Lytechinus pictus: one gene and its partner. The protein of the gene in region 1 binds, or shares a complex with, the protein of each later gene. Links are inferred from orthologs where the notes say so. Each region holds a gene or a part of one and is shown in the gene's direction. Other genes may lie near its edges. The genes, in order: exosome complex component 10-like and exosome complex component RRP40-like.

Evidence for each region.
Region 2: exosome complex component 10-like (region 1) and exosome complex component RRP40-like share a complex: the UniProt entries of both Drosophila melanogaster proteins name them as parts of the RNA exosome complex. The link is inferred for Lytechinus pictus from reciprocal best matches to the Drosophila melanogaster genes Rrp6 and Rrp40.

What each region holds. Positions count from the first base shown.
Region 1 is NC_087258.1:25,015,802-25,032,967, reverse strand, and holds the start of exosome complex component 10-like, read left to right. Parts: upstream 1-10,497; 5' UTR 10,498-10,710; coding exon of another isoform or gene 10,711-10,840; 5' UTR 10,841-11,313; coding exon 11,314-11,388; intron 11,389-16,711; coding exon 16,712-16,848; intron 16,849-17,141; coding exon 17,142-17,166. Other genes in the region: sigma non-opioid intracellular receptor 1-like, read right to left, coding at 6,211-6,422, 7,302-7,394, 8,345-8,545, 10,711-10,840. UniProt on the Drosophila melanogaster protein: Catalytic component of the RNA exosome complex which has 3'->5' exoribonuclease activity and participates in a multitude of cellular RNA processing and degradation events.
Region 2 is NC_087255.1:34,040,444-34,057,788, reverse strand, and holds the start of exosome complex component RRP40-like, read left to right. Parts: upstream 1-9,124; 5' UTR 9,125-9,142; coding exon 9,143-9,346; intron 9,347-17,229; coding exon 17,230-17,345. Other genes in the region: protein shortage in chiasmata 1 ortholog-like, read right to left, coding at 156-191. UniProt on the Drosophila melanogaster protein: Non-catalytic component of the RNA exosome complex which has 3'->5' exoribonuclease activity and participates in a multitude of cellular RNA processing and degradation events.

The sequences.
Region 1 (17,166 bases):
ATGTGCCCTATCTTGAAAAAGAGATCCGTTTTACGCGTTTCTTTGGTCACGCATGTGGTATCCACCCGTCAATGGAAGAGCCCCTTCCCCCCAGATACCAGAGTCCCATTTCACAGAGAATTGTGATTGATCTGATCGATTGTGATTACTCCAATCAACCTCAAATATATGGAAAATCCATCATTGTCATAATTTTTTCTACAAAAAATGTGCACAACGTCCATTTGTATAAAACAAACAGGAAGCACACTGATTGTCAAGAAAACTGTGAATTTTAGAAAACACTGAACTAACATGCATTTAAGATGCTGTAGTGTTGCTGGTTTTCCATATTGTGGGTGATTGGATCAATTGCAACTCCTTGTAAGATGGAAACCAGCAGGGCCCCGTCTTACAAAGAGTTACGATTGATCCAATCAATTGTAACTCAAAGGAAATCCACCTGTGTCCTAATTTTTTTTCTATAGGAAATATGCACAATGTCCTTTGTAAACAAAGAGAAGCACTGTGAATTTTTATGAAAACAATTAATCCATGAATATACATCATAGCTAGAAAATATTTTGAAGAAGCATGCATAATACAAGATGACGTTGCTGGCCGTCCATAGTTGCGATTGATCGGATCAATCACAACTCTTTGTAAGACGGGGTCCAGATGTATTCAAATTCATAATATACTTGAAATAAATTTCCAGAAGAGCATAAATTGTCCAGAGTCTGCAATACTAGCATTAAAATGCTGCACTTGAGCGATTTGTACACAATGGGTGGGGGGGGGGGGGGGTGGGGGTGGGAGGGCGGAGAAAATCAAAGATATATATGTACAAGTTAAAACATATATATTATTTCTCTATAATGCACAAATAAAACAAAACAAAAAATATAGGAAATTCTGAGAAACACATGAATCAATTTATAATTTGATTATGTTCAATAAGAAAGATTTCTTTTCTAAAGATATCTTTACTATATAAGATAAGATAAGATAAGATAAGATATTTATTCGTCTTTCTTTCTGCACATACATTTTATCTTACAAGTATGATTTCACATTCTACAAATGAAAAAAATCAATTAACCATAAATCATTGTTACAGTAGAAAAAAAAAAGAAACATAGCAAAATAACTAAATGTATTGAGAGAAAGACAAGGAGAACCCCTGAAAAAGCAAGGCTTGTAAGGCTAGGGTCTCCTTTGTTTCAAGTACATGACTGAATAGTATTCAGTGTTGACATGTAATATCTTTAAAATACAAAAGAAAAAAAAATGCAACAATAAAACAAAAAAAGACAAACTAAAACTAATCAATGACAAAAAACACACACTAATAGAATATATTGCTTGAATGTACAGTTATGAAGTCTAATAAACTAACAACAATATGATATAATTAAGTGATATATGATGGAAGAGGAAATAAGTATAGATAACATGGCATGAAAAAAAGAGGACGATCGTATGTATAAATAATAATAGTAAAGTAAAAAAAAAAAAAACATGACAAAGGTAAAAGAAACACAAGAAAAGAATACAAAAGGAAAAAAACATGGGCTGACCCTCTGCAGAAGAATCCAGTTAGACAAGATACAAGATAAATATATATTGATATAACATAACATTCTCCAGTCTTATATACAGTTTTTTAGGCTCCAAAATTAAAAATAACATAGTATATAAAAGCATATCTTAACCTAGAGCAACTCACAAATAACAATTAAGAAGATAACCTTTAAGTACACGCTGAAAAGTATAAATGCTTACCGATTTTTTTATATTTGAATTGAGAGAGTTCCAGAACCTGGGTCCTGTATTTACAACTGTCCTAAAAGCAGAACTTGTATGTAACTTGGGTAAGTGGAATGCAGAAGCATTTCGTGTATAATAGTTATGTATGTCACTATTTTTCATGAACATTGTGACCAGAGCTGGTGGCATGATGCCTGCATTGTATGCATACATTAGAGTACCAAGTTGAAAATCATAGATATCTTGTAATTTTAGAATTCTATGCTCATAAAAAAGTGGGGTAGTATGCGAGCGATAGTTAACATTACAAACAATTCTTAAAACTCTTTTCTGAATCAAGTACACCCTTTCTAGATTGGTTTTAAGAGAATTACCCCATGCAAGAACACCGTAATTGAGATACGGGAGAATTAGTGTTGAATACATCATACAAAGAATATCAGTAGAGAAAAAGGATTTTAATTTGTATATTACACCACTATTTTTTGATAATGTCTTACATAGATGATTTATATGGGTTTTCCAAATCAGTTTTTCATCTATATGCAACCCCAGAAATTTGGTCGTCTTTACTCTATCTATTAACACATCATTAAATATAACATCACCTGGAACTTATCTTTAATATCGTGTTGCTAAAGAGCATATAATTTGTTTTCTGCATATTTAGAGATAATTTATTTGCTTGAATCCACAAAGTGACTTTCCTCAGTTCACTATTAACTGTTTTTAAAAGGGTCTCAGGATTTCTGTGGGAATGATACAAACTTGAATCATCTGCAAATAAAATGAACGATAAAATATCAGAGGAATAGTGAAAATCATTAATATACACAATAAATAATAACGGACCAAGGAGGGATCCCTGGGGAACACCACAAGTGACATTCTGTAAACCTGACTCAGCATCCTTTATTGAGACAAATTGTTTCCTGTCAGCTAAGTAACTCTTGAACCAGTCCAATGCTGTACCCCTGATACCATAATGTGATAACTTGCCAGTCAAAATATCATGATCTACTGTGTCAAAAGCTTTCGAATAATCAAGAAATATACCAATTGTATGCATCTTTTTGTCTATGGATTGTGATACTTTATCAATAAAATGTAGCAAGGCATGGGTGGTGGTATGTTTCTCGCGAAAGCCAAACTGAAATTTAGAAAAAATATTACTCTTGTTGAAAAATTTCAAAGTTCTAACATAGATCACTTTCTCAAGAATCTTTGAGAATGCAGTCAATAGAGAAATAGGTCTGTAATTATTCAGACATTGAGGGTCTCCTTTCTTAAAAATGGGTACGACCTTCGCAATTTTCATGTCAGTAGGAACTTTCCCACATGACATTGATAGATTAAAGACATGAAGTAGGGGTTGAATAATTCCTAAGATAATTTCTTTAATTAAGTTGTTAGAAACCCCATCATAACCAGGACTTTTCCCGTTTTTAAGAGATTTCACAATGGTAAGCAGTTCTTCCCGAACTACTGGTAAGAAAAATAAACTTTTACTATTTTGCTCTTTCATAAAATCTCTGTAAGTCTGCTGAGAAAGTGGCACTGCCCGTGAAAGTTTTGGACCAATGCTGCAAAAGTAATTGTTAAAGTTGTCTGCTATAATATTCCTTTCTTCCACCACATGACCGTTAATTTCAATACTCTTTACATGAGATATCTTTTCCTTTGACTTGAATACTTTCTTAATCACTTTCCAAGTTCCCTTGATATCGTTTCTTGTTGCCTGAAATTGAGTGCGATAATATGATTTCTTTGCAATACGAAGGACTGAAGTAAGCGTATTTTTATAATTTACATAACGTTTACGTGAAGATTCGGTACCACGCACTTTATACGAATAATACAGCTTGTTTTTCTTGTTAATGGATCTCAACAAAGAAGCACTAACCCATGGCATAATAGGAACATTTTTACGATTTCTTCTACTTTGCTTTACAACTGGTACATTTTTATTATACAGAGACATGAATTTTTGTAAGAACCTTTTAAACGATATGTCCACATCATTTTCTTTAAGAACTTCACTCCAGTCCGTTTCTATCAAGGCTGCCCGCAGCTTTGCAATATTAGCGGAAGTGTTTTTCCGAATTGATTTGGATTCTTGTTTACAGACTTTACCCAAGCTATATTTGATTGGATTAAACTGTTTTAACATATTTTTCAAGTTTAACCACAGCAGGAATATATGATATCGTCGGCCTCATGCCAAAAAGGCCTGAACCCGATATGGCATTTTGCTTCCATAGCACAGATTGAAAGTGCTAATACATGTACCAATCTCATATAAATCATTCCCACTATACATTTTCTCAGTCTGGTACTGTAATATAATGTAACTAATGTAATAATGTAACTAAATTGCTAAATGATACATGTAGACAATAATTAGCAAGGACAAATGCATTGTGGGCTTACTTCTGGGATTCTTGGTTCAAGACACACTCGGAAATTTACCAAAGTCAGAGGTAATAAAAATATCCGACTTTTGAAAATGATGTGCTATACATAAGGATGTACATTCATAATATAAAGTGCGTATAAAAAAATGGTTACACTTAGAAAAAATCCTGTAAAATTATATATTTGTAATATCCTGAAGATTTTTCCACATTTTAACATTGGTACAGATCCATTAAAGCAAATGACGATATAACTGTCGAAAAATATTTCCACTTGAGTGAACACCACTTACTTTTGAAAAGTTAGTGAAAAATTATTTGCGCAGGACTTTGAAAAAGTTATGCATATAAAAGTAGACCTTAATCATGAACACGTGAAATTTAGCTAGTAAAATTTATTTGAAGATATCTTTTATCTTTTTTAACTTGTTTCCTTGCCCGAAACACTTCGAAGAGTGCATTGCGCCTCATCCCACTCCCCCACACACCGAGGCCATCATGACAATATTTGCTTTACACTGAGCTGTGATTTACATGACATGGCTTAGGCTTGATTTTCATTTTTTTAATCATTGCCAAGCTTGGGAAAAGTGTGGAGAAACAAGTATTAAATGAAAAAGGAAATGTAAACCCACTTTAAATGATAAAAACTTAGTGAAAAAATGCTGGAGATGTCTGATATAAACGTTTGTTCAGATTCAGCTATGTCCTCAGATCCAGCTGGCAAAAAAGAGGTAAAGGTTGTGCTTACTAAGTGTTGAAATTTCAATTAGGGTGGTAAAATTGTTACACTGTGCTTGAATGTATCCGTTTTATTTCAATTGACTAAAAGTGCAAGGGAAATGTATGAGAAATGTTTTGCAGGGTAAGTTTGATTTCGCCCTTTCCCCTTGACACAGCGTGAAAACCAGCATTTCTGAGCAAACAGATTTCTGCGAGCTTTACAAAAATGGACAGTGCTCACTCAAGTGTAACATTCTGTCAAAACTTTTACTTTCATTGGACAGATGAGACCCAAACCCAAGATTGTATGTGAAAAAATTACCCACATGTTGTATATTTTTTAATTCCCAGGGCTTTTTCAAAGTGTAAACTTTTTTTGATACGCACTGTATTATGATCGTTATATCACTCTTGCATATAAAAGTCAGAGGTAAAAATATCCAACATATTTTTCTAATTGATGTGCTACAAAGGAATGTATATTTATATACACGTAATATTATAATCATCATATCACCTTGGCATATCAATTCGAGGTAAAAATCCAAACATCCAACATTTTCTTTTCAATTGATGTGCTCTACCAAAGCATGCATATTCAAAATATAATTATATTCATTATACCACTCTTGTATGAAAGATACCAAATAAATTGGCCAGAGGTAACCGGTCAGAGGTAATACTTTGGAAGTGATGTGTTAGACAAAAGATTATATATTCAATATATTATGATCATTATGACACTCTTGCATATTAATAGTAAGTGTGATACTATCCAACATCAAAAAATGGAAGTGTGCTATACAAAACATTGTACATTCATCACGTTCATTTTTAATTATTATCATTATTGTTATCAGAACTCATTCAAACATTTCTAAAAATCTATTGAAGGGTAGCAATTTTGATTAGTAAGATGGTACCTTAGGCCTACCTATCAAATGCTAATAAAAAGAATCGATGCTGGTCCTATTTCAGATAGAGTTGCTTTAATCTCCATCAAACAAAAAAGGTCCTCACTTTCAAAAGGGGGGGGGGGGGAGCAAACTTGTGTTAGAACGGCCAATTTACATTACAGATTTTGATTATGCATCTCAAAAGGAGGGGGGGGGCACAGGCCAGATGTGCCCCCCTGGATCTGCCAATGGTTTGGCCAACCTTTATAGAGTATCAAACCTTATTTCATGTTTTAAATTAAAAACCTTTGAACTTATGAACCATCAGTATATCAATAGGAAAAACAAACTTAACCAAATTAACTGTCAATCTAACCACCCCCCTTCCCCATTCTGTTAACTAATCCACTAACAATCTTAAACCATCATCAAAGAACACATAGCAGTTCCTGGAACAGTGCCTCTGCGTAGATCCTGACGATTCGGTAGAGGGTGTAGAAGTCTTGGGTACTGAAGATTGTGTCGGAAATGGCAAACGGGAGGGTGGAGGGTATAAAACCACGCCCATATTCAACCATCCAGGTGCCCGCGGTCCACTGGACGGAAGTGGCCTCACCCCAAGCATGGAGTAGTGTGACTCCTATCGTCAACCGAAAATGAAAAAAAATAAATGAGAGTCGGTTTGTTGATCTCAGACAAATGAAAGGTCTGTACTTCTTCACAATATCTATGCATTAGCTCTCTATTGCAAGATGATAATGAATTGTTGGGATATTTTTGTTGAAAACACGTTCCAAGAAAAATACCCTTTTTAATCATTACTATAGTTGATTATACCCTACCCCTCTCTATTCAACGTAAATGAAATCATTGAAGCTGTGAGTACAGTGCCTCTCAGAAAAAGAAAAGAAAACAGGATTCACCATTATCTTCCCACCTTAGCTTTTTAATGATAAAATGATATTTCATTCCTAATTTGCAATTTTTCTTCTTTATTTGGATAGGGGCCTACCTCATAATGTCATGATATGAAAGATGGACAAGAAGAGTTTGATGATTTAATGTTAGGATTAAGTTGCACCTAAAATAGTCAAGATGTGTCAAGTAAACAACAAAAGGGTTTTAAGGAGGAATAGTCAATAGCATTTCTCACTGTCCTTTGTTATGCTTCTTTCACGAATTCGCTGCATCAGAGTGAAGACCGGTTTACAAATGAGTTTCCGCACAAATCGTTCTTACATGGCTCAATTTTTAGTGTTTATAATGTGGTATACCTTGCATATAGGATTCCCTAAATATTCATCTTGATTTCAAATTTGTAATCAAAACATATTGATAATTGTAATATCTTTGAAAACAAGTTCCTTTTTTTCCTGGGACACACAAATTTTCCTGAACCTTCAACCACTTTGGATAATCAACACTGTCCTGTGAGGATGTTAGAATGATGGAGGCAGTAAATGTACAAATTTAATAAGAAAAATTGAAATACTAAGATTCAAAGAATGATGGTTCTTACCCGGTCCATACTCTTCACTCTCGGTTGTTCCTTCTTTCCACTGCCGAAAATTCCCACTTATGATCGTGTCAGAAACATTTGCCCAATATCGACCTGTGAATAAACAATAAATAGAGTGATATAGAAATTAATACCTTTTCCTTTTCACCCTAAAATGAAAAAAAAATGCATTTGCAATACTCTTGGTTGCTTTGATCTCGCACAAGTTTACATGTACTCATGCTTTTATAGAACAAGTAAAATATTCTCCTCCCCCTGGCAACCAATTCTGCAAATTGTCTGTTTTTGGATCCCCTCAAAAAAAAAAAAAAAAAACCTATTATCCATAAAAAAAGCACAATATGTTACTCTGATAGGAAACAATTTTCATTTTACAGTTTTTTGGGCCAAATTGGGACGATTGCTGAATTTGAAGACTTTCTATTTTTAAGGACTACTTTTTTTTCCTTTTAGCTCAACTAGCACTTATGCCGTAAAAGTCTTTCTCATTGTTCTGCTGTACGTAGAATCTTGATCTTCTAAATATTCTTGAATAATATTTTCTTGCAAATATATTGGGGCAACTTAAGAAAAGATGGTATTACACCCCAAAGCATTTCAGTTTGCAAATTTTAGGGGTTACTTTGGCTGTCATGAAAAAAAATCACTTGTCTTCCTAATGTATTTCCAATGCTTCTCTTAATAATAATAATAGCTGGATTTGTCAAGCCCCGTTTGCCTTAGGATACAAGCGCTGCTATTATTATCACGGCTTTGGCTAAACTGCCCATATAGGCGGTCTAGCTGAGCATTTGAGGAATTTCTTCCTACCGGGTACCCATTCACCTCACCTGGGTTGAGTGCAGTACAATGTGGGTAAATTTCTTGCAGAAGGAAAACATGCCATGGCTGGGATCGTACAGTACCCACGTCCCTCAGTATGAAAGACGAGAGTCATAACCACTCGACCACGAGGCCCCGACCTTACTACATCAGCAAGCTACCCTACCCAAGTATCAAACAAGCCTAATGATCAGCTTAAACGACTATCTTCTATTCCTCACCAGAATGACCGCCAGTATCCACCGCAGTGCCAAAGAACAGAATATACTCGGTGAGCGAGGCATGCACGAGACACATGGCCCCCATCCAGCCACCGGCATTCATGAAGATCCATTCCTCCCTCTCTTTGGGTAGGATGTGACCAGGGTATCTCTCCCGAAGAACCTCACCCACCTTGTCAAAGGCATCTTGGTGTGGAAGTCCTGTCAGAAAGAAATACAATTGTTATGTACATTTTTGATGAGTTAGAGTGAAGCAATTCAAATCCCCTGGGATACCCCCCCCCCACGAGAAGATTCCGCAACAAATATATACCCTAGGGCTATTCCATAAAATGATCAACCGTTTTGTACGTCTGACCCCCATTTTTCTCAAGTCTTACTTCACGTCATAAAATGACCAAGCCATGGCCCTTTGAGAACATTAACCTACAGACTGTCAAAAGAACAAGAAATGAGAGACAGAAAACTTCATGAAGGTCCCACATATAGGGGGTCGGATGTACATATTTTACGGAATTGCCCCCTAGTAGAATGCCTCTGGCGGTCTCACCTGCATCACACGATTCAATATAGCAGCAGCGCTGACTTTGAAAACTACTATAAAATAATTATTCACAAAAAAAACACTCATATAATGATACAATACTACGTTCATTGATATTTGACCTTGATCATGTGACCTAAAACTTGTAAATGATATTGACCCCATATATACATTTTATACACTATATAGATCTATGAACTTTGAAAGTTATGACAGCAATCTAATAATTACCTCAAAAATGGCCAAAGTTCAATGGCCTTAAATGACCTTTTGACTTTTGTCATGTGACCTGAAACTCGCATGAGATGTTCAGTGATAGATGACTCTAATGTCCAATTAAGTTTTATGAACTAGACCAATATACTTACAGAGTTGTGATGGTAATTCAACAAATACCCCCAACATGGCCAAAGTTGAATGACCTTAAATGACCTTGGTCATGTGACCTGAAACTCAGACGGGATGTTCAGTGATACTTGATTACTCTTATGTCCAAGTTATGAACTAGACCAATAAACTTTGTTATGATGGTAATTCAACAAATACCCCCAATTTGGCCAAAGTTCATTTACCCTAAATGACCTTTGACCTTAATCATGTGACCCGAAACTTGCACAGGATGTTCAGTGCTAGTTGGTTACTATTATGTCCAAGTTTAATGAATCAGATCCATAAACTTTCAAATTTATGATGGTAATTCAACAGATACCCCCAATTTGGCCAAAGTTCATTGACCCTAAATGACCTTTGACCTTGGTCATGTGACGTGAAACTCAAGCAGGACGTTCAGTAATACTTGATTAACCTTATGTCTAAGTTTCATGAACTAGGTCCATATATGTTCTAAGTTATGACATAATTTCAAAAACTTAACCTTATATAATTAGGTTAAGATTTTGATGTTGATTCCCCCAACATGGTCCAAGTTCATTGACCCTAAATTACCTTTGTCATGTGACCTGAAATTCAGGCAGGATGTTCAGTAATACTTGATTACCCTTATCCTTATGTCCAAGTTTCATGAGCTACATGTAGGTCCATATACTTTTTAAGTTAATAATGACATTTCAAAAACTTAACCTGGGTTAACATTTCAATGTTGACGACGTGACATGAAAAGCGGCGCCTCGTAGTCTCGCTCTGCTATGCAGGCGAGACAAAAAATGTTTTGAAAATAAAAAGATAGAAATTTCCCCCAATTTTGGAAACACCTATCCCCATGCAATAGACTATATATGCAAATTTAGTCTTCCCACAAAAGGGTTGCATGACTTGTCGAGTATTAGGCGCTCGAGGCTCTTGACTGTCTTGATCCGCAATTTACGAAATTCAGAGTTTCGTTCATGTACCAGGGGCCGCGGAACCGGGGGGGCTTCAGCCCCCCCACTTTTTTCCAAAAGTCAAAACCGTGTACAAAAACGTAAAAATGACCATAGGATTGTGATTTTTTGCATGGTCAGCCCCCCCACTTTGAAAACCGTTCCGCGGCCCCTGTGTACTTCGAGTACATGTATACGTCTACTGAATATAATTCCAGTCTTTCCATCATGACATAGACTAGTCTATGATGACAGTCACTAGTCAGGAGTAAATTAGTAGTAGTACAAATATTCAGTTCAAGAGCACAGACATTGTACACCCCCCCCCCAGCGCCTCCCGAGGCCCAGAGCTGGACTGCTGGAAATAAGTGGAATCATTTTGCCTTTTTAAGGCTTTAAATATTTTTCAGTTTGCTTTTGTTTTGGCTTTAATTAAAGTTTTGTTTTGGTTTTGTCTTGCCCATTTCATGCATTTGGGAGTAGAATTGCTGATTAGTTCTTACCAACAAATTTCTCTGCTATTCTTGCAATTGTCTGATCATCAGTTAGATACGATTTTGTCTTCAACCAGAGATGGGTTTCATTGATCAAGGCACCAAATAAAACCAGAATTGATATCTTTGACAATGACATTTTGCCTGTTCTGACTTCAACTTCCAACCAACTACTCGGTACTCCCAATTATAGTACACGTACATGCATGAAATCACGTGACAGTGTACTGGTATCAGGTGACCTAGTAAAGTAGTAAGCATTTAGGATGGAGATTTTTCTCCAAAATACCGATTACTCATTGCTATATTTGGAGAAAATACAGCTCACGAACTTTTTAAAGCTATAGATCTAGATGAATTGTTTACTGCCAAAAAAAAGAAAGAAGAATTTAATCGACGACTTTGACTTTAAGTTTATGTACAGTACCGTACATACAGTACAGAGAACTAGAGACGTCAGAGAAAGCTCCAACGATGCTCCCACGTGGTGTTTTGAAGATGGCGTCAGTCAAGCTGAGACTGATTGAGATGAGATCGAGACGAGTTTGAGCCACGATTTCCCAATCAAACTAACAAGAGATTTAACATTCGAAAGTTTTCAACCGTTTAAAAATGACTGAAAAGGCTGGAGACGAAATGATGGTCACGGATGTGCCAGGATTCACCAGTGTGAACGATTTTGCTCAGGTTTGTTGACACACTAATTCAGCGTGGAGCTGGGATGAGATTAACCCAGAGAGCTCCCGCCCGCGCAGCGGGCGCCCGCTGCGCGGGCGGGAGCTCTCTGGGTTAGGATGAGATGAAGCCTCGCACTCGCAGCGTTGCGGCTGGATGATGCTGCTGTGGCCGCTAGCGCTGCGCTGTACTGTAGCCGTCGCCGCCGGCTAGCGCGCTGGCCTGCCAGGCACCTGACAATGACATGCCGCACTGCCCGCGTCTAGAGTTTCTGTTTGTACTTTGAAAGCTAAAAAGTATGGCAAGTTCGTCTGCGCAGTCCTCCTTGTCTTCGCACACACGTATCTAGGGACAGTGATTTTCCGTTTAAAAAAATTGCCTTTTCCGTTTCAGAAAATCGTAAATTCCGTTTCACTTTCAGCATGTCAGAAAGCGGAAATTCCGTTTCCCCATAGACTTTGTGTACACGGAAAATTGGCTATTCCGTTTACCATTCAGGAGCAATATATCACTCGCGCTGGTCAAAATTTGTATCTGCCACTGTATGTACCAACAACGCAGTAGAATCCGCTCTAACCATGCTAACACTACAGTTAATCGGATCTAGTATGGGGTACACAAAATATTTTGACAAACATATTTGACATAAATACATCCTTACCTTTCAGTTTCACATTATTAGCATTATTTGTTAAATTAAATTTTATAGATAATTTTGGGGGGTTTTGGACATCGTTTCGACCAGTCAACGACTTTAGCCTATCCGCCATTTTGGATTTTAAGACCGGAATATTGTACTGTTACATCTTCAAACGTAGAGGGCAGCAACACATGACCGTGTTGTTTGCATGTGAATGTTTTCGATACGGCCGACCCCGCCGCCGGCCAAGACCCGGGAGAGGCCCGGGGGTTCGATCGAGAGTGATGGAGTCGAGAGCAGTCACGATGTGTGGATTGTCATACTTTGTAGTGAAGTGAGATCGTGTTTTGTGAGGTTTTGTAGCCATTTAATATTCGTATTTTGTTGAGATTTTGGGGTAATTACTGTTGCTATTCTGTGTATTCTGAGGAAAAATATGTTTTCCGTGATTTTCCGTTTGAAATGCCACTTTCCGTTTCAAAAGGCAATATCCGTGAATTCCGTCCGTTTTCCGCGATCGCGGAAAATCACTGTCCCTACGTATCTGCGCGATTCTACATGTAGTACGCGATGACCACAGACTTTACACAGTATTTGGAAAGATATTCATTAAAAAATTCGACTCAAAATTACGAAAAAATAATGAATTTTGGGCATTTCATGTGATGGCCTCAAAAAGCAGCCTTTTTCATCAAAATCCCCAAATTGCGTGCAAAGTGAATGGGTGCGTAGACATGGGGTACCAATTTTTTGTTCAATCTGAAAATGACTGCCTAATGTTTTTTCCAAGAAGATCATGTATTTCTGTCTAATTTTTATGAGATATTTGGTTTACTTATATTAATAGGGATGCCACCCCAAAAATTGAAATTTGAAGTGTTGTAATTCTAGTTTTAAATAGTTTAACTGGAATAAGCTCTGAAACACGAGTAAAATGACACCAAGATCATCAAAATTGGACGAGGGCCGGGGGGTTGCCGAGATATGGCCAATTCAAATTTTGAAAAAAGGCATATTTTCTGCCAAAAAGTGGCCAAAATGGCAAAAATGTGTTTTTTTTTTTTTAAAGCTACCTCTTTTAAAACTTGATGAAGTATAGCTAGGACCTAGGTTGCTTTTCCTTGGGGCACCTAACATGTTAACAACCAACAAGTACCTGAAAAATTGGGTCCGAACTACTTTTCGTTTTCATATTAACGGAGTTCAAAATATGTTGAAAACACAAATTTTCACCTTTGGACCCAGAGGAAATTGGCAAAAAATGACTAATAGTAATCAAGTATCACTGAACATCCTGTGCAAGTTTCAGGTCACATGATTAAGGTAAAAGGTAATTTAGGGTCAATGATCTTTGGCCAAATTGGGGTATTTGTTGAATTACCATCATAACTTTGAAAGTATATTGGTCTAGTTCATAAAACTTGGACATAAGAGTAATCAAGTATCACTGAACATCCTGTGTGCATTTCAGGTCACATGACCAAGGTCAAAGGTGAATGAACTTTGGCCATAATGGGGGTATGATCTGTTGAATTACCATCATAACTTTGAAAGTTTATGGATCTGACTCATGAAACTTGGACATAAGAGTAATCAAGTATCACTGAACATCCTGTGCGAGTTTTAGGTCACATGTTCAAGGTCAAAGGTCATGTAAGGTCAATGAACTTTGGCCATGTTGGGGGTATTTGTTGAATTACCATCATACCTCTGTAAGTGTATTGGTCTAGTTCATAAAACGTGGACATAAGAGTAACCAAGTATCACTGAACATCTTGTGCGAGTTACAGTAGTTTTCAAAGTCAGCACTTCTGCTATATTGAATAGCGTGATGCAGGTGAGACGGCCAGAGGCATTCCACTTGTCTCCAATAGCAGAGTGATCAAGTTATCAGATCATCATGAAAATGGCTGGGTATGAAGTGTGAGAAATCAGGATTGTGCAATCACAAGTGAAATTGACGAAAGTTCCATCAGACATTCAGAAATCTTAGTACTAATCAACCTATCAATGATAGACATTGTTCTGGTCGTCCATACTCCAATTGCCTGCCCTGGGGATTTTTTCGTTGTCAAGGACATGAACTTGGAATGTTCCACTTTGACATGGGGTTTTTGAAAATGAAATTGGGCAATATAATCACATCGCTAATAGAGTTTCAAAATACCCCTTCACATCCCAATCGCCCCGGCTTACGATCAAATTCCTCGGTCCTGAAATCTTGATCAATGGGAATCAGCTGATCTTACATATGAATGGGTTGATTATGCTAGGATTTCATCGAGGTCGTAGTTGAAATATGTGTCAGCAATGGGTATGAAAATACAAGAACTTGAAAGAGTTTTTCTTCAGGTTAATGTATCATTGTTTTTTTTGTTATATGTGTACTTTTTTTGCATTGTTTGAATAACTTTCATCATTCCTGCCAAGAATTTGTAAGGATAACCGTCAGCAGCGCGCACTGGCAGGAATTTCTCGGCGCGCGAGTGGCATCCCTAATAATAGCATAAGGAAAATTATCAACTGAAAGAATTTGTGAACTAAAAAGAAATTCATGTTAAATCTTAACTCAAATCGTTAGGTGCGCAGACTTGGGGACCACCATCATAATGTGAAATGCTCTAATTATGAGGATATTGTAAATATAGATTCTAAATGTCAATTATTATTCCATTGGGCATTATAATTTACCTTTCCGTCGTCGGCTCTCCTCTCGAGCTCAGCCGGAGTGGAGGCTCCTAGACTAGAGAGTAAAAATCATTTACTAACGTATGCTTTAATCTCCACCGAAAAAAGTTGCCACCGTGTTTACGTCGCCATCTTGATTTCATTGTCTTTCGCTTGGCAACAGCACGCAAATCGCGCGATTTGTGTGCATTCGCATGTCGCCAAGCAAAAGACAATGAAATCAAGATGGTGATGTAAACACGGTGGCAAGTTTTCCCCGTCTTTTCATAACATTTTTCCCCTTTTTTAAAGATGAATTCTTGTTTAAAAATGAAATCGATAGGGTAGAAATGTCGGAAATGAAGTTATATCCCATTTACATGATTTAGAGCTAGATCTTTTAGGAGGAAAGTAGAAATCTCGGGGGCGAAAGTTTCAGGTTTTTTGGCGGTACATGGAGATGAATGGGAAGGAATTCCTGGCTCCGTGGAGAGTAAGCATACGTTAGTAAATGATTTTTACTCTCTAGGAGCCACTTGGCTACTCGAGCTCGAGTCGCACCAGATAATGAGATGTCATGATTTGAAATTGAAAATAGAAATTATGTTATTGATGTTTTTTAGACAAGAGTATGAGCCGAGGAGGAGGATGAATGATGAAGGTGACAATATATCTGATTGGCCTGTGATAAATTATGAATATGATGAATTGAACCCGAAGTGCACTGAAAGGACAGTCAGGAGTCTTTTATTTTGTTCTGAACGTTTTGGGCAGGACTCACTGACTCGGCATGCTCAGGAAGAGGAATGAATCAATTTAAAAATGCATGTTGGTTGGTTGGTAATAAATTATGTTGAGGAAAATCACGATGGTGATGATGGTGATTGATCATGAGCATGATGGTGATGATGAGAATGATCATGGTGATGATGTCTTTTGATGATGAGAATGATGATATCGATGAGAATGTTGGTCTTGATTGATGATGAAGATGCTGTCTGATGGTGTGGAACTGTGAATGGACTGGTGGTGATGGTGGATTGTGGAGGTGAAGGTGATTGCAAGGATGAGGATGGATAATAAAAGAAAAGGTGATGATTTCTAAAGTCGTGTCTAGGGCATATCTACACAATTCTTGCAGATTTCTTTTCACCAAATATCCTCTGCTGCCATTAAACCGGCTAGACCAAGTGGATGGAGATCTATTGAAGTTTTTTGTTTTTTATTGTAAAAATTCGCTAATGTCTGGTCATTTTAATGGAATACATGTTATTGTTATCAATTTACAAAGACTACAAGTCTACATGTAAATTTTTTTTTTTAATATTACCATCAAGAGCACTAGAGCTTTATCATCGAATTAGTGCAAATCTCAAGTGCAGGACTGCAGCATAGAGCTTTGATCTGTGCCTTGGACCATGCACTTGTCCACGAGCAGTAGACGGCAGAATAAAGTGTTCTATTTTTACCTCTGCTTTATAGAAATTTCATACTATCGCATCATTTTGTATATATTTTTGTAGCCAAGGTAGGATTCTAGCCAATTCGAGGATTGGTTGGTAAATTTACTTTGGCTGATTTTTTAATTTCTTTATAAATTGATCAACTTGTAGATATGAAGGTAAATGTAGAGTCCTTGAAAAAGCCAAAGAGATCCTAACCAATGAGAACCATGCCCTTCAGGAATATTATAATTTGATGAGGTCAGGCAAACATCTGAGATCCCTTCCAGGCAGAACCTCACGCTTTGTAAATTATTTTTTTCCAGTTTCAATCCGTGAATTTAATAGCCATACTTGAAATTATGTTACCCCCCCACTTCCTGCCTTTATCTTATTTTCTCTTATCTTTGCTTGTTGATTTGTGTAATGTTTACTATATGTATCGGTGTAATCTTTTGTGTGTATTATGTGTTATTCTAATTATTTTGTGTGAACAAATTGAATTTCCATTTGTACTCGATTGCAATTGGACAATAAAAAGATCTGAATCTGAATTATGCTGCTTCTCTATTTGGTCAATTCACAGAAAGCCCTTGGCAAGCTGAAGGTAGCCACCAGAACCGCAAATGAACTACCCTCTGCCGGTGATGACTACGACTTCTACTCCAGTTACGAAGGATTCAGGCAGTTCTGCAATTCGCAGGGAGACAAACTCCTGGAAAGGTTAGTCTGAAATGCGAGTGTTGCTTCGCAAGTTGCAACCCAATATGTAGGTTGGAAAATGATGACTGAAATGAATGATTATTAATGTTATTGTATATTTTGTATCAGGCATAAAAATTGTTTTTTTTTATTTTATTTTCAGGTGCTACTTTTCACAACTTAACACTGCCTAAATCTGCAACATTGGATAAGCTTTAAAATTTCTCTTATGAGCATTTTAGGGGCTAAATCACCCCAGACCCCTGTGGACCCCTGTGTATTTTTTTTCTCCCTGTTTTGTATTTTATTTTTAGTATCCAGAGGCTAGCAGGACAGCAA
Region 2 (17,345 bases), on another chromosome or scaffold:
GGCAGGGCCAGGGAGCTCCGCCGCGCCGCCCACTGCAGAGCCAGAAGGCCCAGAGGCCCGACCGAAGTCGAAGAAGAGGAGATCCGGTTTCAACAAAGTCTCAAAGACAAACAGTAGTGAATAGCCAGGCTAGGCCTAACGCTATATCTACTTACCTCGAAAGCGTAGTCAAGTGCTAAATACCGTGGCATGCTTAAACTATGGTTCTTCCAAAAATGAGAGTAAAATAGATCTCTTGTATCTTGCTCATAATTAATCAGGCATCGTCAGACATCACCATCGATAGGGCGTTTGTTTATGGGCCGGCCTAGCTTATATAGCCTGGGCGCGGCGGTGCCGGCTATCGATATCCGATAAGACCGATATCGATATCGCGCTGAATTCATTTTTTACACCCCCGCCCCCTTCTCGTTATTATCATTTTTCGGCTTGTGATTAAATATATACATGTATTACAACTGAAAGACGGCTGTACCTCTCTTTTTATCACCCTTCCTACTTTTATTTTTCTTCTTTCGTTCCAAGTAATTTTTTTCTCCTCATCATGTATTTTTCCCACCTGCCTGCCGCTCCTAGTAGGGGCAGAAACAAGTCACTAAAAACAAATTAAGAGACTTCAGCGCTAAAAAGAGTTGATTATAGGCCCTATTCTTAGATTCGACTACAATAGACTACCATAAATGGACCATTCATAAATTAAATCGAAGAATTAATATAAGACCAAAACTTGAGGGCCTATATGCAAAACATGTCTTACATTATAAAATTGTATGCCTATCGAATTTGATTTCACCAAGCATGCGAGTACTAGTATCCAGGATTTTTCAACCCGGGGGCGCGACCTAATTTTGGCTCCCCTGTGAACCGCTGGTCTCGGGATGGGGGGGGGGGGCACCAGCAATTTTTTTAGCCATCCTTGGTCGCGTAAATTGCACTCGATCACCAAGTATACCTAGAGACATTTAAAGGACTGTGACATGAAAAGGATATGTATCTCACTGATCAAATAACGCAGAAAATTTGTGATACTCAGACATTATAAGCAAATTGTTGTAATAATCATACGTATCTGTCTCACTAAACGTAATTGTAAACATAAATATGACACGTATCTCACTAATCAAATATTGCGAGCGCGAAGCGCGAGCTGAAAATTTTTGAAATTCAGACCTGAAGAGGGGCATTCTATGGCTTGTTCTTGGGAATTTACAAGGCCATACGTAATTCACTAACCAAATGATGCGGATGCGAAGTGCGAGCTAAACATTTTTGATATTTTGACTCGGATAATCAAACCAAAAGGGGACATTTTAAGGACTGTTTATAAGACTTCATGAAGAGCAGACATATATCACTATTCCACTAATTCGAACGTAAATACGGACTGGAAATGATTTAAATTCAGACCTTAAATAGGGAAATCAATTTAAGTACTCATGAAAAAGAAGCATAATGTCACTCCATAAAGCAATAATAACTCGAAGTGCGAGGAAATATATTTGGTGTATATGGACTTTAAAACGGGATGTTTTAGTCAAACAGGATCATATATCTCATTAAACAGACAGTGCGAGCACCAGGAATGATAAACACATAGGCCCTAAGAAAATAATTTTTCATAAATTTATGAAAAAATATTTCTTATGTAACACTATAATATATATTTTTGTTATATATATTAATATGATATACAATAATTTCTTCTCCCAACAACTACGCGTGACCAAGAAATTTCCAAACATCCCCCCCCCCCTAAAAGCATAAAACTTTAAGCACTTTGGTGTGGATCTAGCTTTCACTAAGGGGGGGTGAAACATATTTTCATCAATAATTTTATGTTTCCCGATCGGATATTCTAAGCAGTTTTTTGTAACAGTGAACATAATGGGTATACGTTGATGCGAGTGCGAAAATTTTTGATATTCTGACCTCAAATTTGAAAGTCTCAATGCAATTTTGGTAATTCGGAAAGGGATATGGGTATCTATCTCAGCATTTTATGCGACCGCAAAGCGCGAGCTGAAATTTTTTGATATTCTGACCTAAAATTTGGACTTTCTAGGCACTTTTGGTGATCACAAACAGATTGGGCATCTAATTGCATTTGATACGAGCGCGAGCGCCAAAATCATGTGAAACATGATTTTGGCGCCCCCGGTCAAACATAAAGTTGGCGCCATAATGGTCGAATATGAATTTGGCGCCCCCTCCCGAGGTTGAACATGAATTTGGCGCCCTTAAGTAAAACATCGATTCGGCGGACCCCAAGGTCGGACATCATTGCGGCGTCCCAAAGTAAAACATAAATTCGTCGCCCCTAGGTCGGACATCAATTCGGCGCCCCCTCCTATGTCAAACATAGATTCGGCGCCCTTCTATGTCGAACATAAATTGGGCGCCCCTATAGGTAGAACAAATCTGATCCAAGCTCTGGACAAAGTTTATACTTGACTATACTTTATTAATGATTGTATATACCAAAACTAAAGTTATGCTCATTGGATCTAGACATAGTATAAGCAGTAGTATGGATGCTGTTGATTTGTCAATGTGATTGATATTGTTGATTTGCTCTTGCATGGATGACCCCATCAGAACAGGTATTTCAACAAGTTAACTGGCCATCTCTTCAAGAAGTGCAAACTAAATCACTACTGTGCATGGTTTATAAATATATCAACAAACTAGTCCCCTCAATTCTTGCCAATTGATTTACTCTTTATGATGACGCGCAATCTGAATCAATTGAAATTAGATGTAGAACAGAATATTACAAACGGCCATTTGTTAACAAGGGCATAGTCCAGAGGAATAACCTCCCCTATGTCGAACATCAATTCGGCGCCCTTAGGTCAAACATCAATTTTCTCTTCCATGTGTGCGATATGTTGGGCAGAGTCTGGTCCGAGTTATGGATTCTTGGTTGCTTGCGAAAGGTGGAGGTAGCTGATCGCCTTCCCGTAATATAGTTACTTAAATGGTTTGAACTGAATTTCACTTATGTTAGTGTCTTAACGTCACTTTTACAGTTATTCATTATCATATTTTCAGCAAAAATAATTGATATATACCTGCAAACCTTGTGTATAGTTATTTAGTGTCATACACTCTTAAGGATGGGGTGCTGGTTTTGCGCCTTTGTGTGCTTGTGGAGTGGCTGTCCTTTTGGAGAGCTGTTTTTTTTCTAAATGAAATTTTAACTTGAATCAAGGTGCCGTCGCTGTTTAGGTTCCTAGAGTGTTGAATTGTCACTTTGTCATCAGAGTGTGGATACTGCTGTTTTTAATATTTATGTATGTTGCATCATACTATTGTGACTAAATATGTTTTTAATCTTGTTAAAATCAGGACATTGAAGTAAAACGGCGATTCAGCTAATCGTTTTATCCTGTATAAATATTTTCTAATAAATAAATAAATTCGGCGCCTCCCTAGGTTAAAGGTCGATTCAGCGCCCTATTAAGTCGACATTCAATCAAACATCATTTCGGCGCCCCTAAGTGAAACATCAATCGGTGCCCCCTATGTCAAACATCAATTCGGCGCCTCTAGGTAGAACATCAATTCGCCGAGGCCCTATGTCGAACTTCAATTCGGCGCCCCGAGGTCGAACATCAATTCGCCCTCCCCCTATAGGTCAAACATAAATTCAGCGCCCCCTACATCAAACTCCAATTCGGCGCCCCTATACGTAGAACATCATTTTGGCGCCCCCCTAGGTTGAAGATCAATTCGGCGCCCTTATGCCGAACTTCAATTCGTCGCCCCCTATGTAAACATTAATTCGGAGCCCCTTGGTAAAACATCAATTCGGTGCCCCTTATGTCGAACATCGATTCGGTGCCCCTAAGTCTAACATCAATTTGCCCCCCCCCCCCCCCCCCAGTTCAAACATAAATTCGGCGCCCCCTTCCCCCCGTTCTGTTTTTTCCCCTTTCTCTTTCTCTTCTTCTTTTCCTCCCCAGTTCTCCCCTATTCTTTTCTTTTTTTCTTTCTTTTCCTCTCTTCTCTTCTTTTTGGCGCCCCCCCCCCTTTCGCCTACCCAGGGGCCCGAGCCCCGAAAGCATCCCCCAGAATACACGCATGCCAAGGTCAATACGACTTCCAATTAGATTTTACTATGTTGATTGTATTGCAGTCATATCCTCTATATCGTCTTTTTTTTTTACATCTGACGAAGAGTGTGACTTTACCTTTCATTTTTGAGAGCTATGCTCCTTTTAAAATATATTATTTTATTTCTACGGCATTTTCTAAACCATTTGTGATTATGATTATATATACAATGTATGTATATATATATATATATATATATATATAGCAAAATACAAGGTGAATAAAACAACCGTAGAGAGAAAAGTTAGATCAAATTTTCGCCCATAGGGCTTCATTAGGAAATGATTAATTTATTAGTCAACAGCACCAAGAAACGCAGTGCGCAAAACGCAAAGCGTTAATAACAACGCGCTAAAAGGTAAAACGCGAAGCGCAACAGTACAAAAGAAAAGAGAGAGAGAAAGAAAGATTGGGGGAGGGGGAGAGAAAATAAGAAAAAAAGAAAAAAAGGGGAAGGAGAAGAAAAAGAAGAAGAAAAAGAAAAAAAGAAGAAGAAGAAAAAGCCGGGGAGACAAAAGGAAGAGAGAAAAAGGAAAACGACTTGAAGAAAAGAGAGCTGAGAGAGAGAAGGGGGCAGAAATAGAGGACAGCTGGGGAGAAAGAAGTAAAAGAAAAAAAGAAGAAAAGGAAAAAGAATAGAAAAAAAGAAGAAAAAGAAAGAAAAAGAAGAAAAAGAAAGGGATGTTTTATATACATATATATATAGAACATCATTTTCCTTTTAAAGTCTACTATTTTATTTCTACGGCATTTTCTAAACCATTTGTGATTATGATTATATATATAGTCTTAACCACTAGACCACGACGCCCCTGTATATAGGCCTATAACTATTTCAAGTCTAAGCAGGGTGGCACTACAGATGTTCCCCTAAATCATTTAGGGGAAGTGTAAAAACATATAAAACTAATGAACCCTTTTTGGATTTATATATATCCTCTCTGTACGATATGTGTGCGCGTGTCATGAATTTTGAACCTGCCAACTTTAGGGAGCGTTTCATCATCATTTTCGTCCGACAAGATGTCAAATCCGATAACTTTACTTGATTTTGATTGGCTGAGAAGCACTGAGCTGTTAGTCGGATAAAACCATAGATATGTATACTAATTAGTTATTAGTATACATCTCTATGGATAAAACGGAGACCTGGGGCAGGCGCGTAGCCAGGGGGGCGGTGGGGGCGGAAAAAAGAGAGGAGAAAAGGAAAAGGGAAGGGAAGAAAGGTAGCTTTGTCGGGTTATTTTTCTTTTTATTTATTTTTTTTTTCTCAAAAGAGAAACTCCTACACTCTTGCTCTAAATTTATATATGAATTTTGCTTCCGCGCTGCGCGCGGTTAAATGACAATATTGAAGTTCTCCATTGTTTCCCCCACCCTTTCTCTAACCCTGTTTTTCCACCTCAGCTATATGTGTTTCTTGCCAGTTAAAGTTCAAATGTATACATTAGGGCATGGAATTAGAGTAAGGTTAGGCCGAAGTATATGAAGTTATCTTTTTTTTATTGATCGCGCAACTTCTGGTCGGGTCGGCTCCGGGCGGGTAAAATCTTAATATATCTTTCTGCCGTCAGCCCGTCACCCCCATAAAGTCAACTTCTCCCGCTTTTCAGCTCATTACTAAACAACCATAATTTTGGGGCAAACAGGTTCCTAATTTAAAAAGAGGAATGTATAAAATTTGTGTCGTATTAACTAAAAAAGTACAATATTTTGTATCAAATTCTATTAATCTTCATGTCATTACCTTGCACATTCATCTCCTGTCCTGTTTTGCGCCCTAAGTTTGAAATTTTGAAAGACACTTAGGTTTCTTTATAATTCAAAATGAAGCGCTTCAGGATAAGTCAAAGAAATTAGGCATCCTTTTTTATATAATTTCAATAAATCACAGAAGTTTCAACTTTTTGCGCACTATTTTCCTTGTAATGAGTTCAATAATCTTAGGAAATCAATTGAATTAGAGCCGATGGGGTATTAGAGATATCTGCATTTGATGAAACGTCCGCCCGTTGAAATTTCAGAGTTTTATTGCTCTGCGCGGGGAGGAATATCTGGGACCGAATATCTTCCTCCCGGAAAGAATTCAAAATACTGCAGCTAGATTGGTAACCCTCACTAAGAAATTTGAACATATCACCTCTATTCTCTACTCCCTCCATTGGCTTCAGGTTCATAATAATATAATTATTTTCAAGCTCCTTCTCCTTGTCTATAAAATCATCCATGGTCTCGCCCCATCCTACCTTCAAAATCTTATCTCTCTCTATCACTCATCCTCTGCAACTCAACGTCTCCGATCTTCTTCTACTGCTCACCTTCGACTATCTCTAGGACCCCGCACTTTTACCCGTTATGGCGATCGTGCTTTTTCTGCTCTTGCCCCTAAACTCTGGAACAATCTCCCAATCTCCATCCGTAATGCATCCACTGTCGAATCTTTCAAAACACTCCTCAAATCTTACCTCGTTAAGCAGTCCTCTTAATTCCATATCCTGTTCTCTTTCACTGTATTTTGCTACTTCTTTTTTTCTCTTTCCAATGCGCTTAGAAACTGTTGTATTAAGCGCTATATAAATGTTAATTATTATTATTATTATTGTTATATACACTTCTCCTCTGTTTTGCGAGTTAAAGATATGCACTGTCGCTAAATTGTTTGTAATCAAATCTGATCTTTCCAAGGGAAGTATTCACTATATCTATGAGAATACCCTTTTCTCGGGACTCTTTTCATGGCAAAAATATTGATAAAACGCTTTAGCATCCGCGCTTCGCGCGGGGTTATTTCAGTGCTTTTAATTTCCTCCATTGTATTCCTTTTTGTGCGTTCACAATCACTTTTGAAAACAAGGTTCAAAATCACAATATAGTCAACTGAATTGGAGCTGATATAGGTACTAGAGACAAGAGAGACGACTCCTTTTCATTTTAATTTATGAAACACCAAAAGCTTCGCGCTTCGCGTGGGAGGATAAAACAGTACTTGTCGGATAAAACGTCCAACAAGTCCTTTCATGAAACGCTCCCCAGGTGCCATGAGCCTAATTACATCAGGAGGGCTAAAGATATTCGTTCGACCCAACCCATTCGAAATTTTTCAATTTGATATTGCTGATTGACAAAAATGTATATGAATATGATTCAAAATCTAACACTGATTCTAGAAATGGTAACTACTGAACTTCCTTTGCCCAAAGTGGGAAGATATATCAATGATTTGGCACTATTTTTTGACTGGCGGAAGAATTGGGGCTATTTTACCGTTTCAGTTGATCAATTTGATCCCATCATAGTTATCTTCATAAATGGCGATTTATTTTTAAAATGAGCTGGCTACGATACCCTTCTCTGGTCAGATATGGAATGTCAGATATATATCCTATCCAAAGGTAGTAAACATTCGACCCTCTAATTTCACATTTATTTTTTATGAATTTTTGTTAAGTGCCATTTTAACACACAAGTCTATGGGGAATGTTTTACGCGCGTGAGACCTATAAGTAATACAGGCGAATTCCCTATAGTGGATGGAATACCTGCCAAAACTCCTCTGAAGCAAACAATTTCTAAGTGATATCAATATGTTTAGTCATCAAGTGGTGCAAAAAATTGATTTAATGGCTTAGCAAGGCTATATCAGGTAAAGTTAGTAGGTATGTGTATGTAAGCCTAGGAATGCATATAGACTGGTCAATGAGAGTCTAGGCCTCTTTATGTTCTGATTCATCATTGGTTTGTGCTAGTGTATGATCACCTACTTAATGTTAGAAAGACCTTTACAAATTGCTCATGTTAAAATTGTTCTTTGGAATGGGGTAGAGAGCTAGAGATAGAACTTTCTGAACTTTACTGAAGAGAACTAGAGTGGTACCTTCAAGAAGGTATTTAGAAAAAGGCACAGAGTATTAAGGTAAGGTATCTAATAGTGCTCAACTAAGGAGGGAGGGGGGGTGGCTGTGTGATCCAATCTTATTCTAGCCCCCCCCCTCTTTATAAGCCATGACATCTATAAAATCATCTTTCTTTCTCTCTCCTCTTTCTATCTATTTATGTATCTCTTTCTTCTTACATCTGATAGGCAATAGCCCTAGGAAGATTTTGATATAATAGTTCAAATGCAAATGTACTAAAGTAATATTATATGTTCTCATTCTTTTATTGTTTCCTCATTCAATCTCATGTATATCTGGTAATTATGTTTGGGGCAGTTCTGGTATCCTGATATCTACACCAAATTTACATACACCTTTATATTACAAGGAGAACAGGGGCCTATATTGTCATTGCATTCACTGTTGGGCTATATGCAGGAAGGATATGTATACATCCATATAGTGAATATAACATGTATGAGTAGCACATTAAAATGGGTCATTGCATAGAAAATACGCATTTTCAATGTATTTCTTTGTGCTAGTGTAAGTTTACAGATATAAAAGAATAGCAAAGTAGCTATTTAAAAAAATAAAATTCATAGGTCATATAATATAGGTGCCATGAGCCTAATTACATCAGGAGGGCTAAAGATATTCGTTCGACCCAACCCATTCGAAATTTTTCAATTTGATATTGCTGATTGACAAAAATGTATGAATATGATTCAAAATCTAACACTGATTCTAGAAATGGTAACTACTGAACTTCCTTTGCCCAAATTGGGAAGATATATCAATGATTTGGCACTATTTTTTGACTGGCGGAAGAATTGGGGCTATTTTACCGTTTCAGTTGATGAATTTGATCCCATCATAGTTATCTTCATAAATGGCGATTTATTTTTAAAATGAGCTGGCTACGATACCCTTCTCTGGTCAGATATGGAATGTCAGATATATATCCTATCCAAAGGTAGTAAACATTCGACCCTCTAATTTCACATTTATTTTTTATGAATTTTTGTAAAGTGCCATTTTAACACACAAGTCTATGGGGAATGTTTTACGCGCGTGAGACCCCCAGACAAATCCTGTCGTGAAAAACTTTCCCTGTCGTAGATGGCAGTGTGCACATTTTGATAATAAAGATGGCAGCCCCCATAGATGACTTTGAACCGCGTGTTGTTCTGCCAGGTGATTTGTTGACAGGATATATTTCTGGAGAGCTTCATAATCAAATTATTCTTGGACCAGGGCTAAGGCAAGATGAAGCCAACATATTCTCAACAAAAGCAGGGATTCTAAGACGAAAGAAACCACATACTTTCTGGATAGATTGCCACCAAAAGAGGGTAGGTAACGCAAAAATCAATAGGCGGGACTGACAGCTCAGTGACACTGACAGTGTCAGTAGAGTAAAAATTAGACAGCTGGCAGCTGTCTGTTTCGAGGAGTTTTTTAACATTTTTATTATTTTTTTATGAGTGGGGCCAACGCAGTTCAGTGGAACAACCAATATAACAACGACAGAAGCTAAGTTGTAAGTATTGGTCTACAGGTCTAGAAAAGACTAGATCTAGGCCTAACTCAAAAATCTGCTGAGTCAGACCACTCCTAGTCCTAGTACCAATGAGGTCCAAACATTAGCATGTATGGACCTCATAGGCGACAATGCATTAAAAACAGGTTAGAACTTCTAACCGTACTGTTTCCTGCACCCAAGTATTAGTATATATGATATTACTCCCAAAATATGAGTTTTGTCCTCGTTTGTTTATCATTTATTAAAAGATTGCCCATTAAATATATTCCTATTCCTAATTTGAATTTAATAAAATAAAGGTAGGCACTTCAGTCGGGCGGGCGATAGCGCGGACATAGCGCTAGACGTAGATTTTTGCATTGCAGTGAATGGCGAGCGCCTATCTAACACACACAGTTCGCTCCGCTCGGCACTTTGGCCGAGCGCTGGAGTTGCATTCGGCATTGCTCGAAAAGACAGAGTCAGTTTCTTCCTTTATTCCGCTGATTTTGATTGGTCAAAAATTCCCGCGGTTGCTTCGTACATCTTCGGTAAACATCGGAAATATACAAGACGGAGTTTAACTTACCTTCATGCGAGGGAAGGACCTAATATTCAGGTATTTATTTTTCTTTGCTTGAAATCACCTTCTTGTAATCATCGGATCCCTTGTAAACTCAGTCAGTAATACAATTGTATATTTGAGAACATTTTGTGAAATTCTAATCAAATTTGGTCCGTAGAGAGTTTGCGAATATGAGCTTCAGTTTTGAGTGTCATGAGGTGTTTGTGAATCTGACTCGGCCGATCGAGCAGGGTTGTTTTGAGCGTATACGAACAGCTGTGAGTGACGTCATCCCCACTGCGTTGGGCCTGAGATTAGTCTTGGTGTTCAGACACAGTATGTTTCAGCCGTTGTATATTTTTTTAAATTACGATTTGAGCTCTGTTAATTATGAAAATCAAATTGTTATTTTGAAAATAATTTTGTAGAATTTGTGTGAAATAAGTATTAAGAGCAAAACTGCAAGTAAACTTCAAGAATTTTGTTTCATATGTGATTTTTTGTTGGAATGCGTCTGAATGTCTAGAATATGGTATTGTTAATGAAAGTCGTATTTTTGAATGGCACAGAAAGCTCCTTGCATGAATTTAATTTAGAAATAGGTTTACATACATGAGATGTGTTTCATAAATTTGATATCTGATTTATGGACCTTTGTTATGGTGTTAATTATTAATTTGAAAATATTATGAAAAAGTAAGAGAAGACAATAATGAGGCAATTAACAGTGATGATGAGACATTAATAATATGAGACAATAAACATTGAGACAATTATAATAATTATGATTATAATGATAACAATTATAATTATAATGATAATAATTATAATTGTAATAATTATTGAGACATCAATTCTAGTATTTATTGACAATAATAATTATTACAGTAATCATTATTATAATAAAATAATTGTAATAATAACAATTATAATGATGTACTTTGAATTGTAATAATTACTGAGACAATAATATTAATGAGATATCAATAATAATCATTATAATAATAATACTTATAATTAAAATAAATATAATTGTAGAAACAATTATAATTATAGTAATTATAATTATAGGCCTTATAATTAATGAGACAATAATAACTATTATTACAATAATACTAATTATTATAAAATAATTATAATGATAACAATTATTCAATTCAATTCAATTTATTCAAATTCCATTCAATAAAAATACAAGATACAATATCAGAGAAATACATAGTAACAAAACAATTAAACATACATAAATATAAAATGAAATTTGGGAGACTGCAAAAGACCGAAAGGTCTTGACGAGGCAGACCCCGAGTGCCATCATGGCAATACATGTATATTGGCATAGGTTAAAAATAATGACATGAACAGGATGAAAAAAATATAAATACAAATGTCCTAACCCCCCCTCCCCCATCGGGAACTGGAAGCCAGTGTAACAATATATAAATTATCAAAATACACTTTAAGAAGATTTATGAGTCATATGATGATATAATGTGTTTTTTTAGCTTACGTTTAAAAGAATAAAGCGAAGAACATTTTTTGATTTCACAAGGCAGCGAGTGCCAAACATCAGGTCCTCTATGTCTAATGGATTTATAAGCAAGTACTGTTTTGGGATTACTAAGATGAAAATTGTTAGAACCTCTGGTATTGTGTTCATGAACCTGGGTATTGCGTATAAACATTGAATTAAAATTGCTTGGAACCAAGTGATTAGTATAATTGAACATAAAATTTGCAGTTTGTAAGATATTGATATCAGATATTTTTAATATGTTCAGTTTTTTGAAAATTGGATCAGTATGGGCTAAGTAAGGAGAACCTGTGCAAATTCTTATGGCTCTTTTCTGCAGTAGCAATAAGGAATTAACATTTCTTTTGGTTCCACAACCCCACGCAATATTAGCATAAGATAAATAAGATAATATGAAAGAATTGTACAATAGTATAATAGACTTTGGCATTAACGTATCTTTAAGTTTAAACATTATACCAATAATTCTAGAAATATGAGTTCTTAAATGCTGAAAATGCAAATTCCAGTTTAAATGTTGATCGAGAACAACGCCAAGAAATTTAACATTAGTTTTCCTTTCAATTAGGGTATTGTCTATTAAGATTTGGCACTGGTCTTCCATAATCTTTTTGATTGGGTTGTGAAATATAATATAATTGGTTTTACTGAGGTTTAGAGATAACTTATTACATTGTAGCCAGTTGGTTAGTTTACGTAATTCTACATTGATAGTGACGATCATTTTATTAAAATCATGATGAGAATATAACAGTGTCGTATCATCTGCAAATAACACATAGCTAAGCATTTCGGAAGAATTTACAATGTCGTTCATATATATTATAAAAAGAAGCGGCCCAAGAATGGATCCTTGTGGGACGCCACACTGGAGTTCTAAAATTTGTGATTTATTTAAGTCGACCTCAGTGTATTGAATTCTGTTCTTTAAATAATCTTTGAACCATGCAAGAGGCGTACCCCTTATACCATAACGTTCAAGTTTATGTATTAATATTGAATGATCAAGCGTGTCGAACGCTTTTGAAAGGTCCAAAAATAATCCAGTTATATATTGTTTTTTTGCAAGGGATTTGGTTATTCTATCATATAAGTCCAAAACTGCTAATTCAGTTGAATGTTGTCTCCTAAAACCATATTGGGCGGTGCAAAGTAATTTGTTTTTGTCTAAAAAATTATATACCTGGATATGGATTATTCTTTCTAAGATTTTAGATAAAGAGGGTAAGATAGATATAGGTCGGTAATTTTCACATTGGATACGATTTCCCTTTTTGAATATTGGTACGACCCGTGCTAATTTGAAAGAATTCGGATAGCATCCAAGAGACAATGATAAGTTGAAAATATGACATATAATGAAAGTAATTATAATTGTAATAATTACTGAGACGGTAATATTGAAAGGTCATCAATAATTATTATTATAAAAATTATTATGATTATAAAAATAATCATAATTATAATTAAAGGCCTTATAATTATTGAGACAAATAACTATTATTACAATAATAATAATTATAAAATAATTATAATGATAACAATTATAATGAAAGTAATTGTACTTGTAATAAATACTGAGACAGTAATATTGATAAGTCATCAATAATTATTATTATTATAAAAATTATTATAATTATAATTATAATCATAAAAATAATCATAATTATAATTATAGGCCTTATAATTATTGAGACAATAATAATTATTATTTCAATAATAATTATTATTATGAAATAATTATAACAATAATTACTAAGATAGTAATTATAATTGTAATAATTATTTAGAAAATAATATTAATGAAACAAAAATAATTATCATAATAATATTTATTATAAGTATAATACTAATTGGGACAATAATGAAATGATGATGAGACAATAATAATATCAACAATTTTATTCAGACCATAATAACAAGACAATATTGAGATAATAGACAATTGAAATCAATCTGTTTTTATTTTTTTCTAGAAATCCTAAGATTATTATTTTATTTCTCTTTCTTTGATTACAAATTATATTCATTGAAAACTTAATTTATAATGTTCAAGCAAAGAAAATCAATATCAAGTCATGTTTACCCTGTGCACAAACCTACCACAGGGCAATTACCCCCGAAATAGGGTTAGGTTAGGTGTAGATTTTTGGATAGGGGTACAGTGTAGTTGTCCGGGGGGGGGGGGTAATTGTCCAGGGTGGGTGGGGGTGGGGGGAGGGGAATTGTCCGAGGGTGGGGGGTGGGGGGTTATCGTCCAGGGGTAGTTGCCCTTGAACCAAAGAAATCATATGCCAATATGTCAAATCAATCTGAGTACTTTAAGATTTAAATAAAAAGCTTGTACAATTCCCCATAAGCTATGTATTATAAATGTGCCATGCCCAAAACAAAGAGAATAATAAGATTTCGCAATCTTCTTTTGTCCACAAAAAGGCCTGTTTTTTCATCACAAAGTTGACAATAACTCGAGATATCGGAATTTGAAAATTCAAACAGTTTTGTGAATCGTAGATATTGAGCCTCATTGTGAGCCCATCAAATATGCTGGAACAGCCTTTCCTAATTTTCACCTGAAGTGCCTAATAAAGGGAAACTTACATTTGAGTCATTTTTCGATCTTTTTTTGGCAGTCAGTCCGGTCACCGTCGAGTGCGATCAAAGCGGTATGAAGCTGATTTTCAGATCACGTGATACGTGTGGTCATCACCTGATCAATCGACTATCCTTTTTTAAAGACCGCAACAATTATACATTTTATTATAAAATATATATAGAATAAATTATTGCATAATATTATGTATATTTCTACAATTAAAAAATATTTTTTGATATAAATTTAATATTTGACGTAAAAATCGCTATTGAACAAAATATTTATTAAAAATAAAAAATCAAACAAAATAAAAAAGCCTTGGACACAGTGCAAAAAACCTAACGATTTGGCCGCGTTGTTAACAACTATCGTAAGGGGCGCTTTATTTATAAATAAAAAAGAATATGCAGCTGTCTATGGCGACGTGGTTTGTCGCGAGATTTGAGACAAATCTGTGGGAATTCTTGAGAAAATACATCAAAAGAACCGGTGAGTACCGATTAAACATTATTAAAGTAGTAAATAGATTATACATACTTTGTAGATTTAGTTTTTAAGGTGATATTAGTGCTTTGTTCTAAGCTAGGGAGGCCCAAACGCGCGTGAGCGGAGTCCCACTTTATTAACACGGGTAAGTATTGCGGTGTCGCCTAGAGTGAGTCAGACTGAGTGCTGTTTTTCGGCAATCAAGGGTTCATTACATGCCGCCACGCACAGAAAAATCAAGCAATAGAACTTAGAAGTTGTGTGTTGTGGACACCAGAAGTGGGATCGCAGCACGCGTGACCCACTAGTTAGAAATCCATTGCCAAACGTGGTCAATCAATGGTGCGAGTTTTTACTTATACTAACCTCGCGCTCGCAATAGTGTGAGTGTTATACATACTAACCTCGCAATAGTGTGAGTGGTTTTTCGGAGGAGTTTGTAGACATTTTCGGCATTATTTTTTTATTGTGAAATTGCAAATGCAATTGGGAACCAGTTCCTAATTTCCACTAGACACTTTTTTTCACGACAAGACATGACCAACCTACAGTAGAGGCGCACGGCCAATATGGGAGACTCTCTCCAATAGGGGAGACAATCTCCCACATTGGAGACTTGCTTTGCAAAAGGACAAAAGAAACAACACCAAAAAAAGCATGATTTTTTCCACCCAAAATTTTGTCTCACTGAGGTCAGAAGCCCATTTGTTTTGTGTGTGATTGACAAAAATCCTTATCAAATATCAAAACAAAAGTAGACGGTGAATTTTTAAAATAGACGGTGAAAAGGGGCAATTTTTCATGAGGAATCTGCTTATCACATTTTTATTTGCCGCCAAGGTAATCCTTTTGCAGCAAATGTAAACAAAGGAAATTGGTCTCCAAAACTGGAGACTGTCTCTGAAATTGGATACCCAAATTCTTTACAAAAGTCTCTGATATTGGAGATAATCTCCCACATTGGAGACAGTCTCCAATATTGGCCGTGCGCCTCTAGTGACCTAGAATATTTTGAGCTTGCTCACTCAGTCACTGCTTCACCGCATGCCGTAGTCGTAGACCAAAAAAGCTTCGGTCTCTGTTTTTGGTTGTTCCGCTGAACTCCGGTGGCTCCACTCACCAATTGTATGAGTCGAGGAGAAATTAAAAAAATAAAAAATATGTTAAAAAACTCCTTGAAACAGACGGCTGCCAGCTGTCTACGCACGCCGCAGCTGGTTCGCTGATTCTAAATCCTCTAAAGAGCATAGATCAGAAAGATTGATTTCGTCGCTGTCTATTCTCTACTCGTTGAAAATAACCAGCGTGGAAAACTCCCCATGGAGTTGTACACGCTGGTTCCCATTTCAGCGAGTAGAGTAAACTAGTTTAATCTACTCGCTTAAATTTTTTTAAATGGGAACCAGCGTGGAAAACTCCTTGTACATGCTGGTTCCCATTTCAGCGAGTATAGTAAATTAGTTTAATCTAGATCTACTCGCTAAAATGGGAACCAGTGTGGAAAACTCCTGCATAGAGTTGTACACACTGGTTCCCATTTCAGCGAGTATAGTAAACTAGTTTAATCTAGATCTACTTGCTAAAATGAGAACCAGCGTGGAAAACTCCCCATAGAGTTGTACAAGCTGGTTCCCATTTCAGCGAGTAGAGTAAACTAGTTTAATCTAGTCGCTGAAATGGGAACCAGCATGGAAATCCATATAGTTGTACATGCTGGTTGTCATTTTGAAGAGTAGATAAAGACAGATTGATAATGAGATTTATTTCGTCAGTGATGGTTCTGACGAAATAAATTACTCAAGTACACTGTCTTTATCTACTCTTGAAAATGGGAACCAGTACAATTCAGGAGAATTTTCCATAGCTGGTTCCCATTTTGAAGAGTAGATAAAGGCAGATTACTAATGAGATTTATTTCGTCAGTGCTGATTCTGATGAAATAAATTTTTCTATAGCTATGAACTTCAGAATTTCATAGCTGGTTCCCATTTTGAAGAGTAGATATAAAGACCGATTGCTTATGAGATTTATTTCGTCAGTGATGATTATCTGACAAAATAAATCTCACTAATAAACTGTCTTTATCTACTCGTGAAAATGGGAACCAGCATGTATAATTCAGGAGAATTTTTTTTAGGTGGTTCCCATTTTGAAGAGTAGATGTAAAGAGAGATTGCCAATGGCGCATCTGTACCAGACGTGCATACCTTTTTCTTCCCCGTTATCAATTCAATTCCAAAACATTGCAATGACAAATATGTGTGGGCGGCAGCCATGGTCATTTTGTGAATGCGATGTTTTAGAATTGGCATAGAATTTAGTCACCTCAATGATCAACCCTTTGATCACAATCAATGGAAAGACAAGATAAAGTCCAGATAGATGACCGCAATCTTCTATTTTAATTTTTTGTTTGAAAGATTAGGTTTTTTTTTTTAATTCAAAAGTGACAAATCAGAAGGATTTGGCATTCATGCATATGGCTGTTGGCGATATATTTCAGAATCTATTTTCAATCTCAATCTCTTCCAGTATGTACCAGCTAAAGGAGACAAGGTTCTAGGAGTAGTGACCCAGAGGGCAGGTGATATCTTCAGAGTGGACATCGGGGGCCAATCCAATGCTACTCTATCATATCTCGCATTTGA